Linked DNA regions of Nothobranchius furzeri. The protein of the gene in region 1 purifies or fractionates together with the protein of each later gene. This does not show direct contact. Links are inferred from orthologs where the notes say so. Each region holds a gene or a part of one and is shown in the gene's direction. Other genes may lie near its edges.

Region 1 (3,823 bases):
GAAGGCAACAATCTGTCCTTATTCCCGGCTCCTCAATCATTTATTTTATTTATTTATTTCCTGAAAAGCCACTTATGGTACGCTAATTATGCTGAGTTGAGCAGCCTGAGCATGTAATAGACCAAAGGCTACTCTGCAAGGTTTCTCTGTCACATCAGTATACTGTAACCTTTACCTGATTTACAGTCCCTTGTGTATAATTTAGTGCTTGATGGCTTTGCCTATTCAGGCCTTTATTTTAAACTTATGTCAGAGTTGATGCTCAATAAACCAGTTAAAGGTAATTACATGAAGTTTGTTTGTTTTAACTTTCATGGATTAGAGGCAAAACAAGATGAGTTGGTAAAATCACATTATCTTAAAATTGTCTTCAGCCGTCGGGTTAAAAGTTATTGGTTCACTTATATATGCAACCTCATTTAAAATCACTATATATATATGTACAGTGATCCCTCGTTTATCGCGGTAGATGCGTTCCAGACCTGGCCGCGATGGGTGAAAATCCGCGAAGTAGGGACACCATATTTACAGTACAGTGTCAGAACCCAAGTTCCCAGGCCAGCCTCTTCCAGCTAGCCGGCCTCCACTATGGACCACAACTCCCAGCATGCCCCTCGCGGGGATTCCCTCCACGCCGCACCTACGTCACGGCTATAAACGGAAGTCGCCTTTCCAGCTCACCACTCAGTCATCGTTTCTTCAGATTCATGATCAGAGTTTCCAACCTACCGATCCATCCCACGAACTATCAGCTCATAGTAAGTTATCTTACTTACTTCTGGAAAGCCTGGCATTTCCGTGTCACTTCGTTGACGCTCGAACGCTCGGGGGTTTCCTAGATCGTGAGCCGGCGTTTCACCGACGCTCTCACTTCCGCGTCTGTGAAACCACGCTCCCTACAAGCTCAACTCCCGAATCCAGCCGACCAGTCTGACATACAGTACTATATTGAATTATCGTATGATCACATTCTCTTTTTGTGGGTAAAACTCAAGAAAAAATTTTTTACTTGTTTTTTTTTATAGTTTTATTTCAAAAAGTGCATTTTATGATGAAATTGATGAAAAAAAACAGGAATTTCTTGATATTTCTCATAGAAAAATACCGCAAATCGGCGAATTTCCCTTGAATAAGGCTCCAAAGAAAAAATCCGCAAAGTCGTGAATCCGCGATAAACGAACCGTGAAGTAGCGAGGGATCACTGTATATATATACAGTATATATATATATATATATATCCATCCATCCATCCATTTTCATCCGCTTATCCGGTGTCAGGTCGCGGGGGCAGTAGCCTAAGTTCAGAGGCCCAGACTTCCCTCTCCCCAGCCACTTGTGCCAGCTCCTCCGGGGGAATCCCAAGGCGTTCCCTGGCCAGGTGAGAGACATAGTCCCCCCAATGTGTCCTGGGCCTCCTCCCGATTGTACATGCCCGGAAAACCTCACCAGGGAGGCGTCCAGGAGGCATCCTGACCAGATGCCGGAGTCACCTCAACTGACTCCTCTTGATGTGGAGGAGCAGCGGGTGTACTCCGAGCCCCTCCCGGAAGACTGAGCTTTTCACCCTATCTCTAAGGGAGAGCCCAGCCACTCTTCGGAGAAAACTCATTTCGGCCGCTTGTATCCGCGATCTCTTTCTTTCGGTCACTACCCAAAGCTCATGACCATAGGTGAGGATAGGAACGTAGATCGACCGGTAAATTGAGAGCTTCGCCTTCTGACTCAGCTCTCTCTTCACCACGACAGACCGGTACAACACCCGCATCACTGCAGATGCAGCACCAGTCCACCTATCGATCTCATGCTCCAGTTTTCCCTCACTCATAAATAAGACCCCGAGATACTTAAACTCCTCCACTTGGGACAGGACCTCATCCCTGACCCGGAGAAGACATTCTACCCTTTTCTGAATCAAGAACGATCGGTCTCCGATTTAGAGGAGCTGATTCTCATCCCAGCCGCTTCACTCACTAACTCTCTCTCTCTCTCTCTCTCTCTCTCTCTCTCTCTCTCTCTCTCTCTCTCTCTCTCTCTCTCTCTCTCTCTTTATATATATATATATATATATATTAATTGTTTTTTTTTTTGTTCTTTTGAAGCTCCTTGTGATTTTTATCTTGAGAGGAGCTATATAAAAAATCATTTTGTTTATTCTTATAAACAACCATGTTTTCCTTGTGCCTTTGTTTAGATTGTATCTCATCAACTCACCTGTGGTGCGAGCGGAGAACCTACGATTCAAAGAGGAAGGTGTGCGAGACGTGTTGAAGGACGTCTTCTTGCCGTGGTACAACGCCTATCGCTTCCTGGTGCAGAATGTTCAGAGATTGGAAAAGGTATATTTGTAAAATAAATAAATAAATAAAACTTTACACAATTGTTCTTCTCCAACTATTTATATTCTCAAGCCCATAGTTCTATATGAAAAAAGCAAACCATCGCTTGAATATCACATTAAAAAAGCTATTTGACTTCATCTGAATGTGTTCGTATTATTTTTACTGTCTAGTGAAAGGAATCAGACCAAAAATGATCATTTCTTTGCAAATTTGATGAAAAGGATTTTTCCACTTTTCAGAACTAAAATTCATTTATTTTTCCTTTTGTTAAAAATTTGATTAAAATCATTAGGAGCAAAAGGCTGAAATATGTTTCCCTCCTTAAATATTTGTGTCGATGCTACTTTAAATAGACAAAATATACAATTACTGTAATCAGATTACATTAGTGATGAACTGTGCTGAACATATAAACAATTGTTGTGTTTGCAATGATTATCCAGGAGGATAGGATCCAGTTCCTGTACAACGAGAACACGGTGAAGCAGAGCGACAACATTATGGACAAGTGGATCCAGTCGTTCACACAGTCTCTCATTCAGTTCTTCAAGGCTGAGATGAACGGTGACACATTCTGTCTCTCTCTTTTTAATTATTGTCATTTTTAGAAATGTTTCTTCACCTCCTCCTGCTATTCTCGGCTACAGTCAGAAGATGTTCTCAGTTAAATAAATACTTGTTAAGCTTTAGTAACATGAAATATGTCTGAGCCTGCAACCAGATCATGCTTTATTCTTTGGAGCGTAATTCGACAGTTGGTTCTGGTTGCAGCTTACCGCTTGTACACGGTCGTGCCTCGCCTGGTCAAGTTTGTGGACATGCTCACCAACTGGTACGTCAGGACCAACAGGCGCCGTCTGAAGGTGAGAAAACGGCTCCAAAATTAACTCCTGATTGAAATGTATCACTAGATCCATTTCGTATCTGAGAATTTTTCTCTGGTGAAACATAAATGTAATAAGTACTGAAGAGATAGTTAGTAGATTTGTTGTTTTATGGAGTAAATTGTGTTGATTAGTGATTTTGTGGCTGTCCTTCAGTCGTTGTGTTGACTTTGACTGTGGGGTGCGTAGCAAGTGTCTGCAGTGGAGTCTTTATATTTTTATTTCTCTTGAGGGGAGAGAACTTATGGATGTGTTTGTGATCCTTGTAGGGTGAGCGTGGCACTGAGGACTGCCTGTGGGCGCTGGAAACCCTCTTCAGCGTTCTGTTCTCCATGTGCAGGCTGATGGTGAGTCATTGGGTTTCAGGTGAAACCAAGACAGAAAGGGGATGGGGGTGCAAAAACTGAAATTGTGTTATGAATTATGCACGAGCAGTAGGAGCTTATATTCACAACACATTGAAGGTGTTTGCATGTGAGCTATGAGGCACTTAGCCTAACCCAGGTCAGTACAGATCAGCTGTGATCTTTGCAAATAAATTAGCTTGGGTTTAAATCCAGTAGTCCAATTAGAAAAATATTCACAACTTTACAGTTTGTT
Region 2 (3,823 bases), on another chromosome or scaffold:
GAAGCAGCAAGCTCACGAAGCCCTGAAGTCATTAGAGACGTGAGAAACTGACCTCCACATTTTGTCTGTGTCACCTGTCCTGTAGAGGTTGTCTTGATTAAGGGAGAGTATACATTCTAACTGCATTACTTGGTTCTTTTTAACACAGAAACACGTTTGATCTACTCCTGCAGTCTTCTCCAGAGCGTCACTTCCTTCTCCTACTGAAGAAGGATGCAGGAGTAGTTGAAACGTCAGCAAAAAAGAAGGTAAAACAACCTTTCTTTGTGTTAAAAAGAACCAAGTAATACAGTCAGAAGAAACACTTAGAATGAATGCACAAAATATGTTTAAAGAGAATATACATTCACTGGCCACTTTATTGGGTACACCTTTCTAGTACTGGGTTGGACCCCCTTTTGCCTTCAGAGCTGGCTTAATCCATTGTGCCATAGATTCAACAAGGTCCTGGAAACAGTCCTCAGAGATTTTGGTGCATATTGACATGATAGCATCACACAGTTGCTGCAGATTTGTCGGCTGCACATCCACGATGCAGATCTCCTGTTCCACTACATCCCGAAGGCGCTCTATTGGATGGAGATCTGGTGACTGTGGAGGCCATTTGAGTACAGAGAACTCATTATCATGTTCAAGAAACCAGTCTGAGATTCGAGCTTTATGACATGGCGCATTATCCTGCCAGTTAGTACTAAGGGGTTCAAAGTGTGCCAAGAAAATGCCCCCCACACCATTACACCACCACTGATACAAGGCAGGATGAATCCATGCTTTCATGTTGTTGATGCCTGATTCTTACCCAATCATCCGAATGTCACAGCAGAAATCGAGCCCGTGCACACGATCGGCTGCCGTTTCTCACCACTATCAGCTGATGGAGGGCCCTACTTTTGTTTCACTGCCGTGTGCCATTCGTGTTAGGGGGCATGGTAGGGTCGGGGAGGGCGGGGCATGATGCTTAGCCTGGCGGGTGACCAAGCAAAGTATGGCGGGCCGCCAGGCTTATAAAGCACTGGGGGAAACCCTGCCTTAGTTTCCTGTTCTTAACTGACAGGAGTGGCATCAGGTGTGGTCTTCTGCTGCTGTAGCCCGTCTGCCTCAAGCTTCGACATGTTGTGCATTCAGAGATGCTCTTCTGCATAGCTTGGTTGTAACACGTGGGTATTTGAGTTACTGTTGCCTTTCTAGTAGCTTGAACCAGTCTGGCCATGTCTCCTCTGACAAGGCGTTCTCACCCACAGAACTGCCACTCACTGGATGTTTTCCCTTTTTTTGGACCATTCTCTATAAAACCTAGAGATGGTTACATGCAACAATCCCAGAAGATCAGCAGTTTCTGAAATACTCAGACCATCCCCTCTGGCACCAACAACCATGCCACGTTAAAAGTCACTTAAATCACCTTTCTTCCCCATTCTGAAGCTCGGTTTGGACTGCAGCAGATCGTCTTGACCATGTCAACGTGCCTGAATGCATTGAGTTGCCACCATGTGATTGGCTGATTCGTAATTTGCATTAACGAGCAGTTGGACAGGTGTACCCAATAAAGTAGCCAGCGAGTGTATTAATTTACCTTGTTGTCTGTTGATGCCAAATAGAAAAATGAACAAGTTAACTGCAAGCTAATTTTACAACAGTTGGTTGTTTGTGTGATTTGCACTATTTGTTGTTTTAGTGTGGTGTTGTGTTACATTTGGTATAGTAATACTAAGGATAAGTACAGAATGATATGTATAAAAGGGGTAGGGACATGTAAGTTTCGACTTCGTCCTACTTCTTTTCAGACAGAGAAGAAGAAAAAAGTATGATGATTTTATATATTTTTTTCTGTTTTAAAAAAAATGTATGTTTTCTTTGTTTGCAATAAAAATAAACTACCTGACATTCTTTAAAACAATTAGATTTTGTGAAGAGACGAGGAGAAACTTCGAGGCAACTTTGGCCTGGCTGCAGGAACATGCCTGCTCTCGTACCTACGGGCTCGGTAAGTGAGCTCCTTGCCTGTGTGTGATCCATCGACTTTAATGTTAACGTTCTCATAACCAGAAGTAAAATCCTAACTTTTACTCTTGTTATTTACAAGCTTGTGAAAGCTGAAGGGGGAAAAATCCCTAATGGATGACATTTTTGGTCCATAGATGGAGACAGAGGGCTGATAATTATGCGCTTAGCAACAGTCTGCCTCTTCTCCTACAAGAATAGATGCAGTGTGAAGGCCAGTTGGCATGCATTACAAGACTGCTGCACAGCCCAGACTTTCTGTAGACGTTGTGAAAATGTGTCTACATTTAGCTAATTTCAACAAAATGCCAGGCAGATGCACGGTGTGCTGTAGACCGATATGAAGCACGCTGTTCATAGACTTTTCACCTAAATATGATTGTTGTAAAAAATCTCAGTCTGGATTCTGGAACAAAGATGTAAATGTGTGCTTATTATAATGTGATGAAGAGATTTTAACTTGGGACTGTAGAATGTCAGAACATTAAAGTAGCTTGTTGTGATCAACGACGGAGTGAGAATGGGAATTTTTTATGTTAAATTCTCCACAAACATCATTATGGACTCAGAGCTTGTGAATAAATTAGGTAAGAAACTTTTTAGTTTTGTGGAAATGCTCAAACAAGAGCTGGGTGGATGTCAGATTATCTGATTAGTTTGTTTTGTCTAATTTCTGGGTCCATGTTGTCTTACTAATTTAATCTCTCCTCCATCTCTCTCTCTGGTTGTGTGTGATTGTATGGGTGCCCATCTCCTGGTTACCATAGGAACACGGCTGCCTTGGGACGAGCAGTGGCTGATTGAGTCTTTATCGGACTCCACGATCTACATGGCTTACTACACCGTAGCCCACCTCCTCCAGGGGGGTGTGCTCAATGGTCAAGGAGCCTCACCGCTGGGAATCAAGTAGGAATGCACCCCTCCACAGACACACTCACTCACATAATAATAATTAACTGTTAAACTAAATGCAGCTGGCCCTCCGTTTTCTGCCTTCAAATAACCAGTGAGGTGGAAGAGACTATTTTGTAATCATTAGCTTTAATTAACAAAACAAAAATGTAATTTCATGCTGTAATCCAAGTTAAGTAGACTCAAACTTGATTCCTAAATCGGAAGTGACCTTCAGCCTACTTTCAAACATATTACCTTTCCCTCTGGTTTTTGTCCTTCACAGACCAGAACAGATGACCAGAGAGGTGTGGGACTTCATCTTCTTTAAAACGTCTCCGTTCCCCAAGACGAGCATCCCTAAGGAGCACCTGCAGAGGCTGAGGAGAGAGTTTGAGTACTGGTACCCTGTGGATGTCCGTGTGTCTGGCAAAGACTTGGTGCCCAACCATCTCTCCTACTTTTTGTACAACCATGTCGCTATGTGGCCCAAAGACAAGTGAGTTTTCTTAAAGCGAATGAGACAACTGTTTTATTTTACAAGAGCAAAGTTTGAGGCTGTTGCCTGGAGAATAACGTGTTAATAACAGTTTGTAATTTAGGGTAAATTACAGTTTCAGCCTGTCATCCAACTGGCATTTCCTTAAAAGAAGACACGTTTAGACTTATTTTTCTTAAGTTATAACAGTTCTATGGTCAATACAAAATGTGTTTCTGAAGTTCTTTGCACTAGATCCCTCTCACATAAACCATCTCAGCAGTTTTATCCATCATGATATTTTAGGACCTTCCGGAATGAGTCGCTTCAGCACTCTGTCACTTTAAGAAAACAAGCTGGAGCTGGCCACGCCCACCCATATCCTCTCAGGCTTCTATTCACTGAGAAGCTTGGATATCTGGGAGGGCCTTAGAGTAGAGCTACTGTTCTCTA

The links.
Region 2: the proteins of iars1 (region 1) and lars1b purify together in Homo sapiens (affinity purification with mass spectrometry; 7 studies listed by BioGRID and IntAct, counting the BioPlex papers as one, with this or other methods). This does not show direct contact. The link is inferred for Nothobranchius furzeri from reciprocal best matches to the Homo sapiens genes IARS1 and LARS1.

The regions. Positions count from the first base shown.
Region 1 is NC_091743.1:62,670,810-62,674,632, forward strand, and holds part of iars1 (isoleucine--tRNA ligase, cytoplasmic), read left to right. Parts: intron 1-2,191; coding exon 2,192-2,336; intron 2,337-2,782; coding exon 2,783-2,903; intron 2,904-3,110; coding exon 3,111-3,202; intron 3,203-3,492; coding exon 3,493-3,570; intron 3,571-3,823. UniProt on the Homo sapiens protein: Catalyzes the specific attachment of an amino acid to its cognate tRNA in a 2 step reaction: the amino acid (AA) is first activated by ATP to form AA-AMP and then transferred to the acceptor end of the tRNA.
Region 2 is NC_091750.1:55,309,780-55,313,602, reverse strand, and holds part of lars1b (leucine--tRNA ligase, cytoplasmic), read left to right. Parts: coding exon 1-39; intron 40-1,901; coding exon 1,902-1,984; intron 1,985-2,768; coding exon 2,769-2,907; intron 2,908-3,178; coding exon 3,179-3,391; intron 3,392-3,823. UniProt on the Homo sapiens protein: Aminoacyl-tRNA synthetase that catalyzes the specific attachment of leucine to its cognate tRNA (tRNA(Leu)).